Linked DNA regions of Drosophila melanogaster. The protein of the gene in region 3 interacts with the protein of the main gene of each other region in a pairwise test. Each region holds a gene or a part of one and is shown on either strand. Other genes may lie near its edges.

What was found.
Region 1: the proteins of Poxn (region 3) and Smyd3 interact in a two-hybrid assay, tested with the Drosophila melanogaster proteins (one large-scale study listed by BioGRID).
Region 2: the proteins of Poxn (region 3) and lms interact in a two-hybrid assay, tested with the Drosophila melanogaster proteins (one large-scale study listed by BioGRID).

Annotation. Positions count from the first base shown.
Region 1 is NC_004354.4:2,606,167-2,610,549, forward strand, and holds Smyd3 (SET and MYND domain containing, class 3), read right to left. Parts: upstream 2,711-4,383; 5' UTR 2,502-2,710; coding exon 2,305-2,501; intron 2,247-2,304; coding exon 2,005-2,246; intron 1,938-2,004; coding exon 1,804-1,937; intron 1,559-1,803; coding exon 1,096-1,558; intron 1,031-1,095; coding exon 660-1,030; 3' UTR 514-659; downstream 1-513. Other genes in the region: Zw10 (Zeste-white 10), read left to right, coding at 1-363; eIF3g1 (eukaryotic translation initiation factor 3 subunit g1), read right to left, coding at 3,207-4,016.
Region 2 is NT_033778.4:20,554,954-20,560,466, forward strand, and holds lms (lateral muscles scarcer), read left to right. Parts: upstream 1-1,923; 5' UTR 1,924-2,004; coding exon 2,005-2,242; intron 2,243-3,133; coding exon 3,134-3,282; intron 3,283-3,438; coding exon 3,439-4,188; 3' UTR 4,189-5,000; downstream 5,001-5,513. Other genes in the region: Mgat1 (mannosyl (alpha-1,3-)-glycoprotein beta-1,2-N-acetylglucosaminyltransferase), read right to left, coding at 5,087-5,200, 5,254-5,341, 5,400-5,482.
Region 3 is NT_033778.4:15,832,038-15,836,606, forward strand, and holds the start of Poxn (Pox neuro), read right to left. Parts: upstream 3,019-4,569; 5' UTR 2,646-3,018; intron 1-2,645. UniProt on the Drosophila melanogaster protein: Transcriptional regulator that specifies poly-innervated organs (chemosensory bristle). Also controls the number of neurons.

The DNA of each region.
Region 1 (4,383 bases), on a different chromosome or scaffold from region 3:
TACAATGCAACCTTCTGCGAGCTAATCAACACATTTGTCGCCGAGCTAATCCGTCGAGTGTTCACGCTGCGCGACATTTCCGCACAGATGGCCTGTGAGCTGAGCGATCTCATTGACGTGGTGCTCCAGCGGGCGCCCACGCTTTTCCGCGAACCAAACGAGGTGGTCCAGGTGCTCTCTTGGCTTAAGCTGCAGCAACTGAAGGCCATGCTGAACGCGTCGCTCATGGAGATCACAGAGCTGTGGGGCGACGGCGTCGGCCCGCTGACCGCCAGCTACAAGTCGGATGAGATAAAGCACCTAATCAGGGCGTTGTTCCAGGATACGGATTGGCGGGCCAAGGCCATTACGCAGATTGTATAGGGCGCGTGCGCCTTTTTTGCGAGCGAGGAATGTTGAACGGCGGATAGACATCACATTTGAGGTGGTAAACGGAGTCTAAATTTGATGATCACCATCAATGTGTCCTTACTTTAATTCCTTGAATTGTTTACCACAAATGCCAAAAGTAATAGAATTTGATAATCTTTAATTCTCCGAATGGTTTCTGTTGTACATAGAAAAGTAATTATCCACAAAAATCCATTCCATTCTTCCCGCAACGCAACACAATATTTAACTTAAGACTTATTTAAATGAATAAAAACAACTAAATCCCATTAGTGCGCCTCTTGTCGCGCTTGTAGAACGAGCATGTATAGCTGCTCAGTAAGCAGTCTGTGATCTCGGCCGTGGGTGACGGTTAGGATGCGTTGGGCCTCCTCCAGATGGTGCAGTGCCTCCTTGGAATGGCCCTCGTAGAGCTGAATCTTGCCCAGCTTCATGTGAAGCAGGCCCAATAGCGGATTCCAGGGTCCGTGGTATTTTCGAAAGCCTGGCAGCAAACGTTGCCCGTAATCCAGGGCGTCGCTCCACTTGCCCACTTCGATGGCTGCTTCGAAGGCCGCATCGAGCGTCTTGACGTACCACACATTCAGGGGATGGAACACGCCAGTCTGCTTGTCCAGACACACCTTGCACACATCGAGATCTGTGATCGAGAGAGTGAAAATGTGCTTATTATGGAGCTAATTCCATTTCGTCGCATCTACTCACAGGCCACGTCCTTCATGTTCTCCAGATTGTGCCGGGTCAGAGTCATCGCCTCGTTGAAGGCATTTCTCAACTTGGGACTGATGCCGGCATCGCATCGCGGGCAATTATTGCGGTCCACACTGATTCCCGCACCGCAGTTGCGATTGGGACACAGGGCAGCCAGCATCTCCTTCGATTCCTTGGCATCCGTGCACTTGCTGCACACGCATAGGAAGTAGTAGTGCTCCTTGAGGTCCAGACGCCTCTGCTCCGGCGTATTGAGCAGGTCGATGTAGCTGATGAAGATTTTCGACCAGTCCAGGCATTCCATGTCCTCGATCGCGTGGACGTGCAGCTCGTTGCCCTCGAAGGTGGCGACCGCATTTGGCTGGCAGCTATGGTCCGTAATCGAGACGCCCAGATATATGGCCGTGGCAATTGAGTTCATCTCGGCGTCCAAGATATTGAAGCCATTGGTGATCAGCTGCAAAGAGCAGAGAAGAAAGAGCATGAGCTCCCGCGTAACTGTGCGCCGGGGAATGTGAACCGAAGCCCTTCCTAGATAATCAATTGACTGGCAGAGCGCCAGGCATACATCATTGATTGCTATCTAATTTGGGCGACCAGGAGCGGCTGCATACGCAAGCGTCTTGGTTTCTCGATTCAGTACCAGTGCGATGAATCGCCCAATCCGCTCCTGCTCGCTCGCACAGGTGCCTGCACACTTACGCGACCATAGATGCTCATCAGTTCCGTCTTGTTTGGCACCGTGCTGGGACTCTCGGCCATCATATCGGTGAGGACGGCATGCAGCGAGTCCAAGTGCTCCAGTCGCATGGGATCGTTCTTGATTTCGGCGTAATCTGTGCACGTTAACGTGGATTAGCTAGGAATGACCATGCAAAGCGGTTCGCCCTTTGGTTTACTCACGGGACATGAGATCGCGAAACTTGCGGGAGCCGTGCTCGGTGTAATAGCCGCGGATCAGGTCTCCGCCGTGCTCCAGGCGCAGGATCAGTCGGCAGAGCATTCGGGCAGCATCGGGCACAACTCGAGGATGCACCTTCTTGAGGAAAGGACACTCGTGCTTGTGCTGGCCCCAAGCTTGCATCTGGCATGAGCGGTGGCAGTAGGACACATACCTGCAGTTGGAGCACTTCAGCACCTTGGTCCTGCAACGACGAACCCAAATTAGATAGCTCACAAAGGCAGCCACATGGCGAAACTTACGCCTCCAGGCAGTTATCGCACCGCTCCAGGCGGTACTGTGATTTCAAGACGAAGGCGAATGGTTTCTCCGTGAGGATCCGCTGTCCCCTTTTTATTTGCGGCGCCGGATTCTTTAGGTTCTTGGATTTGGATGAGCATGCGGATGCGGTTGCGGATGTGGTTGCGGATCTGGATGAACCAACGGTGGCGGTGGCCATTTCGCTCGAACGGAGCAACAACAAAGACTTTCGCCTGGGGGCCCGTCTCACTGACGACTGAAAATGAGCGCACACCTGAAGATCAAAAATATTGTTTCGAATGCTTTTTGAATATTTTGCGGCATCTGATTTCTATTTTTGGCCACAAAAACAAACACAATTTACGCAAATCGCTGGCAAACACAAAAACAACAACACCATGGTGTTTATTCGCATGCAAACGATGGCGTTGCCAGATCGGCTGGAATCATGCTTTCTACAGTGGGCACCGCGTAAGGTTAACTTGTTAACCATATGTGGGTAGCTGCATGTCGTTAAAAAATACACTTAACAAATCATATTCAAGTTTTTTAAGTAACAAATAAAAAATATTTCTTTTATATGTTGTTCCCAGTGTCTACGATTTGGTGGCCTTGCGTCCTTTAAAACGAGGGAGAAAGCTATATTAGAGCAAAAGTCGAAAGCATTTGTGTTGGTTGGTCCGCAAAACTAAAGAAGAGCGATTAAGTTATATCAAATATGAAAAATATACGATTCTAGATGCCATTGTATCCTTGCAGAGCATAGTCATCTGGTTTTCGGTGCCCATGGGGGCTGTTTTAAGATTTATTTGTAGCAAACTTAGCATAGCATAGGGACAAATTGTGTGATCGACTCGAACGGACTCCTATGAGCAGTAAACGCGGGTAGTGGGAACGGGACTAACTAATTGTTCTGGGGTTTCGACCATTCGACGCTGAGGATCAAGTGGTCGTAGCCGTGTCCATTGAGGATCTCGATGGCGGCGGCCGCATCCTTGCGCTGCTTGAAGTGCACGTAGGCGAATCCCTTGCAGAGTCCGGTGTTCTTGTCGCGGGCGAGATACATCTTGCTCTGCGGTCCAATCTTCTTCACCAGCTCCTCGAGATCCGCCTCGGTCATCGACTCCGACAGATTCGATATCCTAATGGCGGCCGTGTCGTCGCGTCCGCGCATTCCCAGCGCGCCCTTTTGGCTGTCCTTGAGGAACGGCGGCACATACTTGCCGGACTTGGGCGCATCGACGGCGGCCGCGGCGGCTGCCGAAGCCTTCTTCTCCATCATATTCGTGTCCATCGCCGTGCCCTTGTACGGGCAGTTGACCGACCAATGCTCACCGTTGCAGATACGGCACTTGGCAATATTCTTGGTGGGATCTAGCAGCGGATCGTTGGCCTTCTCGTCCTCCTTGGAGTTGAGGAACTGCATGATGATCTCCTCGGACACCATGGTCGTCTGCGAGTTGGGGCCGGGCTTGTCGTTCTTCGAGTCGCCGAACTTCGTCCAGGTGCGTCGCTTGGCCACCGTCTTGGGCACCACCTGCTTGGATATCTTGTACGTGCGCACCACCTTCGTCTTCTTGTCGTCCTTGTTGTACTTGTACTCCGTCACGTACTTCTGTCCGTTCTCCACCGTCTCCGTCGTCGGAGGTAGTCCACCATAGTCGAGCTCCACCTCGTCCGCCCAGGAGGATTTGATCGTTTCAACGCCCGGCATCTGAAAGGAATTGAGGGCGCAGTGAGTGGGGCTACACTGGGCGCTTGCTTGGGGTGCACTCACTCTGATTTTCAACGCGATTTGTATGCGAAATCGTAAATGCAAATTTCGCCACGAGTTAAGCGGATTTTTAATCAGCAACAAAAGAGTGTTACCCTGCCGCGGTCACAAAAATATGCCGTGTGTGTCCAAAAAATATACCGCTAATACCACTTTGCACTTTTTGGAATATACCATTTGAAATTTCGTTACATATAAGTTAATAAGTTATCGATTTGATTTTGAAGATCGCAAGCGACCGTTTATTGCAATTTATCATTTGAAACTAAATCTAGCGTACAAAATGTTTCCCTAAGTCCCTAGCAAT
Region 2 (5,513 bases), 4.7 Mb from region 3:
GCGATGACAAAAAGAGGGCACAAAAAACATTGAAATTCTGGCCGGAGGACGGACTGTTCCACGCGACTGCCAGTGCAACTCCGGACGTGATTTATGCTGCGTGCGCCTGACAAACACTCGAGAAGTGATGATTTATAATGAAGATGCATGCTCGGTTATTAATTAAATTCTGACGCGACTGCGCTCCATTTAGTCTTAAATGCGAGAACCAAACAAACTGATCTTTAGTTAGCCTAAGGTTATGGTTGTCGTCTTACGCAATAAGGGCCAAAAGATCCTTAATTGATTCGAAATTCCAGAGGCAAATTCCAGTGCAAAGTGGTAAGAGGTATGCAAAATATGTTATGCTGAGAATCTTATAATAATACTTAAACATATCTGCAAGTTCATTTCCTTCCTCAGATTTCTCTGATCCAGTTAGGAAACTTAATATATTGACTTAGCCAAAACAAGATAGAATAGAATACTTATGTTCAGATGTTCGGCTTGAATGTGATTCCATAGATACCCATGGATAGATAGGTTATAAAGTAGCCAACAAATTGGTAAATACTCAAAAATGACGAAGTCGAAACAAAGTCTGCATTCTGTTTGGCAGTGGAATTTGAAATATGGCAAGCAATAGTCGAATATTCATTAAGCGCAATTATGAAAATTAAGTTGTCATTTTGATTTGAGTGCCCGCGACACTCGGGCATGCGGCCTCATAAGCAGATCTAGATCCCCCCCGCATCCGCAACCGAATCCGAATCCCCGCCAGAATTCTCATTAAATTAAATCAAACTGACAGCCCGGCCGGCTAAATGGATGCCCTGCGATTCGTCCCCTTTCCCCTTTTTGCTCCGCCATCTCGGCGACTAATTAACGTGTTTTCAGATATTTTGTTCAAATCGCGCCTGAATAATGAAGACGTTATCATGGGGCATCCGCGCATCCAGGAATGGGCACCCTGTAGCCCAGTAGATGTTGTGGATTTGGCTGCTGGCCAATTGGAAACTAGTGTCAGCCAGGCCGCCGGCTAATTTCTCAGATCCTCCCCTCCATTCGGATCCTGAGTGCCCCTTTTCCATTTTCCATTCTGTCTGAATTATGTGTTCATAATTTCGAATTAATGAAATTTTTACAGGGGGCTTGGGATTGGGATTCAAAGAAATAGAAAGTTATAATATGAAATATCTGTAAGGAAGGTGTTCTAAAAACTCAACAATTAAGTTATGATTCAAAAAATGTTGTGCTTCAAAATTACTGTTTCTCAGATTTAAATTGAATATATTATACACATTAAAAATGTTTCTCAAGCTAGTAGAACCCAATTATGCATTGCGTTACAATCACTTAGACTAATGGCCTTGTATTACTTTGTTAAGAGATTTAAAAAATTCCAAAAAATCGACAAAGAAACCATTTGTACATTTGAATACAATTTTTTGAATGCTGCATTGTTTAAAGAATTCTGAATTAACCCAAAAGAGGACACGTGCCTGCACACCAAAGCACTGAAAACAAATCCAGTCAAAGAAATTGCTCGCCGTTCATTAATCAAATGGATGAAATATGTTGGCAAACGTATTAAATATATTTAGCAAAGCCATCGAAATATTAAATAGCGCTACTTGTAGACAATTAGCCAAAAATTATGACTTTTAATCACGGGCAAGGCGACAAAAACAATTTCGAAAACCCAGAAGACGGCGTTGAACGCGAGCCACGCCCCTCATCCCAAACATTTCACACATGTTTTAAAAATAACCGAACTTGTGTGCTGTCTTCAGTGAAAATCGAATAGTATGTTTCTGTTCCTTTCTGTCGTTCTATTTGCGCATATGGTGTGAGCGGTGCGGAGATATATGATTTTAGGCTCCGCCCCGCCAGGCGATCATCTTGAAAAATCGGCCAGTGAGCAGGATGCTCCGCATATTCAAATTAGTTTTCCGTAAGATCTCCACGCGCGCTGTTGTCTCCGGAATATCTTCAAAATATATATCGCTCGCAATCGGCGGAAACATGAATTCGCAATCGGCAGTGCGTCGCTATCCACACAGTTTTTCCATCGAACAAATTCTGGCCAAGCCGGAAATGCGCAGCTCCACTTCCTTTGAGGACTCCGTGCAGGATGAAAGCGGTCGCGGTGGCAATTGTCTCGGTGCTTCACGGGCTTCCAGTCCGGCAACATCGAGTTGCTTGGATGACAACATGGACGACGGCAAAAGTGATATCGATTTGGCCTCAGATGATGGAAACGGTGCGTATGATCGATATGCCGGAATATAAGCTTTACAACGACGAGAATTTTGGTGTCTGGAATTGGATTTGGGATCTAAAAACTTAACTTAAAGCTCAATTGGATCCTTATTAAATAGCAAATATACAAAATATAGATTTATACTGAACTTCATCAGGATAAATAGCACCAACAGCCAAATAGTCAGTGCTTTAGTGCTTTTAAGTGTAGTATTATCAAGGTTCAAGGAATTATCAAGGATCTTTCAAATAATACAGTTACAATATACAAATTTTAAATTCTGAAAAAAAATGTCTCTAAAAGATGATTTACCTCCTAATGGAATCACCCATAACGAGCTCAGCACAGCCGTTCATTATTGTATGTAAATATGCAATGAGTTTCCCACCTGAACGAATGAGTGAGTGCCTATGGCTGAATGATCTCATCTGTCATCCGTGCGATCAAGAAACAAATGATCAGAAATTAGCTTCTGGGTGACAGGGAATAAGCCATCCATTCCATATCCACATTTTCGTCGACACCAACGCAGTCGACTAATGATGCAAATGTCACAAGCGAACAAAGATCGCTGGCGATCTCAAAGGAGATATTCTTCCACCCGTTAAGAAGGAATTTATATGGCTATTTGTTTTCGGTCGGCCAAGAGAATGTATGCCAAAATGGCCAATTAGACGCCTTGGCTAAGTGAAATGCAACAGTGTGATTTGCAATTTGCCAGGGGTTTTGCGGTGCGACGGGGCATTTTACATACACATACAACTGTGCCAACAACGGATCGACAAATTACCATTAGGCGAAAATAGTTGGCACCGCGCGCCGGATTGCCCGCTGTCGGTAGCAATAAATGTCTAATTGGGATTTCGATTTCCCACTTTGATTCCATTGCAGGCCTTGGTGATGACCGCAAAAAGCGACCGCGTACCGCCTTCTCGGCAGCTCAAATCAAAGCACTGGAAACGGAGTTCGAAAGGGGAAAGTATCTTTCGGTGGCGAAGCGAACTGCACTGGCCAAGCAGCTGCAGCTCACAGAAACGCAGGTTAGTTGTGGAATCTATCAAAAAATTTAATTACTACCCAAAAAAGTTTGCCATTCTATCTAAAAGCGATTAATAACATGAAATGAAATCCCTTGTATCTATGAGATACAATTGGCATTCCTCGTAAATAATTCATTCATTCATTTCACTTTTCAGATCAAGATCTGGTTCCAAAACCGCCGCACCAAGTGGAAGCGCAAGTACACCTCGGACGTGGAAACGCTGGCCTCGCACTATTACGCCCAGCTGGGTATCGGGGGATTGGCCAGGCCGATGGTGGTTGGTGATCGCCTTTGGCTCTTTAGCCAAACGCCAACGGGTCCCACGCCCATTCAGTCCATTATGCTAAATGGCAGTGGCTCCGCTGCACCCATGGCCTCAGCAACGACGGCCACCGGCTCACCCATGCGTCCGTACGCGACTAGCGGCGGAATGCCACCGTTGCCGGGTCCCAGTGTGATGGAGAGTGCCCGTAATGCCATACTGGCACGTGGACAACCCTTGAACTTCGCCCTGCCCTTTGGCGTGGCTAAGCCGCCGGCGGGTGGTGTGCCTGCGGCCAGCTACATCCCTCGCTGCAAGCCGTATGCGACCAGCTATGTGGACTACGCGGCGTCACTGCCAACGAACGAGAGCTATCTGCAAATGAAGTACGCGACGCTGCCGCCGGAAGCGGAAAGCGGCGCCTCCAATGGCCTCGCCGAACTGGAACGCGTCTTTGGGGATGCCAATGCCAACTTTCTGCAACAACGCAGCACGCCAGTCGCTGGAACAGCCACAGCCTACGGCCACGATGGATTAAATCAGGCGCAGCGGAGCCGCAGACCCACACAATCGGAGTCCGAGTGCAGCGACATTGACTGCGAGCATCTGGACGAGGATGAGGAGCCACCTGCTGCGGAGTGAAAAGGCGATTGGTTGTCTTTAGAATTTATGTTCCGTACGTCTCTCATACACACAAAAATATGCTCATACAAAGTGTAGTCATAGGGGGTAGTAGAGTAGGTGTCCTGTCTGGGTTGATTCCATTACAACTAGCTGAGAGTGGCACACTTTCAGATCTGGCCGGGATTACTGGCGTACCCCTGGTGGCTCAGCACTGGTCTAGTTTACGTTGTGGTTCTAGTACTAGTACTAGCGCTAGTTATTGCTATTCTATGTTACATTGTGTGGGTCGGGTACTGTTTACTGACTGGCTCTCAACAATTAATAAATGTAAATTAAATAATCAAAAATCACAAATATTACACGTCCGTTGCCGTTAGAACTCTAGTTGGATCAACTTAAATGCTACAAATTACACGCTGCATACTATAACTTAACCATTGCTATAACTATTTGCAATTTAACACGATAAATTGAGAGAGATAGACAGATAGAGAGAGCTGTAACAAAAGCGAACGACACTGACTTATTTACAATTCATTGCGTTGCTTGTGTGGCTGGTGTGCTAGAATGGAACACTTTTGGCTCTTGCCACACACAGTTCGGTTCGGTTGACTACTATACATAGTGGAGACTCATTTGATTTGATTTTGTTACGCCAACAGTAGGTCCGTAGGCTAGGGATCTGGAGCAGACGAATTGCGTTTTCTATCAGAAATCAGGGCTAGTACTCCAAGTACTCCTGCCTACGCGATGGCTGCGAACAGCGTCTACTGTTCGAGGAGATTCCATAGTTACAACTTAGCTAATTGGTCAAATAAAAATTAAAACTCATAGGGCTATTTTTGGTATTGCAAGCACGCGGAGCTAGCTGCGTGGTAATGGAAGTGGAGCTGGCGGTACTCTGTCCTTAGCGTCGTTAGCTCCAAGAGAGCTCGTAGCCCTTCCAGTTGGCGTTGGGTGCCAGATGCACGCGCCGTTTGTTGTAGTAGAAGGAGACGATGCCATGGTAGGCAGTCCGCGGAACACCGCTCTACAAAGATTAAGAATAATCATAGTTTCAAGCACATAGATTGATTGATCTACCTTGAAATCATCCATAAGACCCAGCATCTTAGTTGTCCGCTTGTACTGCTCCCTAGTAGTGTATTGAATGCGAACTGGACCTTCGATTCTGCAACACCATAATTGGAATTATGTAGATACTTTCTATATATCATATATCAACTCACCTAATCAGGTTTCGCCGCAGCTCATCGTACGTAACAATGGGATACGTATAAACGCGCCGCAGAAACGTGTTATCGTAATTGTCCTGAACATGAAATAGTTGTTAGTGTAATGAG
Region 3 (4,569 bases):
GTAACTGCCACTGCCGGCCGACGGTCCACACTTTGTCATGGCCATGTTATTATGGAATTCACATTTGATTTAATTGCCGAGCCCGGGAGTCCTTCGTCCAGCTCCCTTGCCGCTTTTCAGCTCGTAAAACCACCGAAATGCGCGTGTTAAGCCACCGAACCACCGCACGCACCACACACTCCCCCTTTGAAATAAAAAAAAAAAACGGAAAAAACACCAAACAGAACGAGAAAAAAAGAACTCGAAATTAAGTTGTTCATTAGGTTTTTTTTGGACCTTCTCAGTCTCCGTCTCAGTTTTTCGGTTACCACTCACCGCGAACGGGAAACTCGTGCTGGCCGTTAAGGCCATAAAGTTAGCAGTTGGCCCGGGGCCACGATTTGGCCGACAGTGCGATAAGGATTGCAAATCCACTCGGTTTTGTAGAAAGTGAAATAGACATTCCGGCCAAATCCAATTTGGCCGCAATGAAAGGGTTAATTTCCCCTCTGGCGTGCTGCTCGCCCATTTCTCTGGAATTTTTCGTGGCCCAATCGAGGCCAGTGAGCAGTCAAAACTAAATAGTTCCGGACATAGTAGCAACCCCTAGAAATATGCGACTATTCCACTTGCTTTGCCACTTCTACACGTGTTAATTATCAATTATTGGGTACGATCCATCCTTAGAATGCTGAAAAATGTATCTTGCAGAACACAAAAACCTAAATTTGAGGTATTACTTTTGGAAATATATCTAATCTAACTAACAAGCAGTGATCCAAAGTATCTGGTGAGACCAAAAAATCCCCTCTAATTTTAAGAGACCTTATAAAATGTGAACGCGTAGCAAAGGTTTTTTCCAGATCCACAACGGCTACAATTTTAAATGTTGAATGCGATCTTGAGGCCAAATTGCGAGTTATATATATAGGGATGTTGCTAATCTGGGTTCTCGAGAACCGCTTTCTGGTTTTCAGGGGGGATAATATACGAGTATAATTAGTATCTTCCCCAAGTGCTACCGATTTCTCCACAATCCTCAACTCGTAAGTCTCAATTAGCTCCGTGCACATGTCAAGCGGAACAGACATAAAAACCGATAGAAATTAGTTAAACATACAATAATTTAAATTCGTGCGATTACCGAAAGTGGAACCGACAGGTTGGCCGAGCTTCTGTTTCGGAACCCTCTCCCTTGATTTTATTTTTTATCATTTGCTGCCCCCCCCGCAGATCAATGGATCGATCGAAGCCAGAGCCAAGCGGGGCATTAACAGCCGCTAATTAAAATAAAAAAATTATAATAAAACGTACGCTTCACCATTTGAATATGATTAGCTTGCTCTTTCTGGACCACGCTTAAGTAAGTTGTCCGACGGCTCGTTGCCTCGTTGCCGATGGCCAAAAGCCCCGAAAGCCGGTGGCTTGGGCTTTGGCTTAGAAAGCACACAAGTCAATGGGCCATAATGGCAGCCAGAAACGACGGCATGACAAAGAATTAATTAGCATACGATTTTTGACTTTTGTCGCTCGCCGTGGTCGTGGGAAAACTAAAGTCTGGCCAAAAAGGCAGTCATCGATCGTTGGCAGTCTGGCCAACGATCGATTGGTCCGCTTTAAATGAGTTATCTCGGTGCGGCGGAAGTTCAATTGGCCGTAGTTTTGCATTGCAAATTCGATTCAGGCCATCCGGTGGCATCTTCCACTTCATTCACAACATGAATATTATTCGAATATTATTGGAATCGAATCTTGGCCGAAACTAACGCCGCCGGTTGAATGAAGATCGCCCCGTTTGGTTCCGTTCAGACTCGATCCGTTAGATCAGATCGTCGTTCATTAAGAAATAAGCCGATCGATGGCAGGGCGTTGGGTCTGGGGGGACGAGGTCGGACTTGAGACCGATGTGTCGAACTCGATAAGCAAATATCGTTATTAAAGTCTTTCAAAAACGCCGCAACCTGATCGGGAGCGACTCGATTTTTAATGATTTAGTTGTTGAGAAAGCAAATTATGCGCAAACAAATTGATTACGATCGTTTATGGTGGTCATTATGGGCAGGTCGATGGATGCGACCAGATCTTAATTAAGACGCCGATAAGTCATCGTCGTTAGCTTTTGTCAAGTGTTGGCATAATATTACGGATTAGAATGTGTCTGCACTCAAAATGCAATGTGTGCACTTTTCACCAAGTTCAATTAAGCTTATCTGGTCTCGAGTAGAAAACGAGATAGCACATCTGGCGTAAAATCCAAATCAACAAAATATACAATCTAAAAACTTGTCAGTGAACTAATAAAGTTGTCATCTAATTTCATTTAATGAAGCAGATTCAAATAAAAGCTCAAATTTATTTTCAGATCCAAGCAAATGTATTCTAACTAATTTATGCCAATAATAATGACAATTCGTTATAAACGATCTATGGAATATTATAACAGATACTTGAATCTGCTAGTTTTTTATCTTTTTATGTTCTATTTTTTATAATCTAGATAGCAAATGAACACTTAAACTTTACCAATTCAACATAACTTGGTGAAGCTCAATTTAAAAACGTTGTGCAAGCATAAAAGCTTGACCAAAAACGGATAATCTTCCATGAATAGTATCTTTCCTAGATGGTTATACTTTTGAAATATATAATTCAAAAGATGTGCTCACCTTAAACTTAGAGCACTGAATTCGCCGGCTATCCAATAACTTTGCCGCAACTTGGTTCGAATCCTTTGATCACTTGAGCACAACACTTTCCGCTCGAGTTTTGCATGCACCGTGTGGCTTATTCCGCGGATAATGGCCGATTACTCAGTTCGGAGGCGCGACGGCTAATGGCTTCTGTATGATTCTTATTTGGGAGTTCGGAACGCGACGCACCTTGTCACTCGACCGTCAAAAATTCGACTAACTGCACGCGAATCGCGGGACCGGCGCATCGATTCGATCAATTTTTGTGGCAGTGGCAGTGGCGGTAGCAGTGGAAATTGAGAGTTGGCTTCGTGCCTCGCCCGCGGTCCATCAGCCGACAATTTCTACTGAAGCGCCGCCAAGCAGAGCGGCCCAAAACGCCACCGAAAAGCCGCCGCTCACTAACACACTCGTAATACGCGGCCCGCACACACTGACACAAGCGTTCACGGACTCACGGACGAACCGTTTTTCTGGTGTAACCGGTTTTTCACGGCTGCGACGTCCGCGTCGGTTTCAGCCCCATTTGGCCCACCGCCAGCCAATGAGAGCCAATCAGAGAGCTGGCCCGGTGCGCATGCGTCGCACGCTGCGCCGACGGTGAGCTGCCATTGGCCAGATTCGGCAGCAGGGGTGGGGGCCAGGTGACACGTCCTCCGGGAGCGAAATCGACACGGGCACAGTGGGTCAAGTGTGAAGCTAGAGGCTAGTGGGCTAGGTCGATTTCAACAGCATAGAAAACCGCATTGAAATTAGGGGTAATTACGTAAAGCCACTATATTCAGAGAGTGACTAATACGCAGTTACCTTTGTAGATAAACATTGCTAATCTGGTTAGTTGATTAGTTGGTTAGTAGTAAAAATTGTGATGATACTCAAGTGCAGCTAACTAAACTATCTTTGTGATTTAAGAGTTCAAAACTTTTTAGGATTACATTGTAATATATTTGGGAAGAAAGGAAACCTTATAGAAGCATGATACCATGACCTTTTACATTAAAGCTACTTTGAAATGTTAAGAATGAGCCACCTGATTTGAAACTAATAGTTTAGTGTCAAAATTGTTTTTCTAACTTGGTACACAAACTTAATGTTATGAGCAAAAACCGAGCAAGTTCAGTACAATCCAGCTTGCAACTTTTGCTCCACTGTGCGATTGCATGACGTCCGTGCAGCCCGCCTTCGCTCTGTGAACGCTCTGGGGGTAGTAGAATTTGGTGTGGATGGTCGGCGAGTTCCGGCCAGAGAGCGTTGCGGCAGAGCGTAGCCTTATCCGTGGCCGTTTCCGCAGCCGATGCGTTGCCGTTGCAGCCGCGTTCCGGCCAATCGGCGGAGGCAACGCAGCACGCAAACGCTCTCACTCCCGCCCCCCGCCCACGTCCTGCATCGTGTGGTTCATAGAAACTGATAGTGTATGTATCTCGCCCACTCCAAGGACCCCATCCACATCCACATCCGCATTGTGACACTGCATAGCCGTTACCCTGGCGAAACAGCCACAGCTACGGCCACAGCTACGGCTCGTCCTTGCCCACCCGCTGGAAACTCCCGGGGGAGAGGAGGAGGAGGAGGAGTAGGAGGAGCGGCAGGAGGCGGAGGTCGTTGGGTGGGTGTCGGCGTTAAGTAACGCTCGGTGGTGCCGCAGGCGTTAATTGAATTCGACAATTGTCGCTCGGCATTCACAATTGGAAATGGATTTTCACTGCGACGGCGACTGGTGCTGAAAGATAAAGCTGTCACATTGTTTGTGATTGTTCCAAGGGAGGAGTCCGGATTATTGATCCATTCGAGGTACCGAACATGATGAATGGAAATTAGTTGCCATGACTAGGAAATCAATGGTCCCTAGCAGGGGGAACTCCTGATCCACCAAGACTGGCTAAAGCCTAACCCGTTTTTT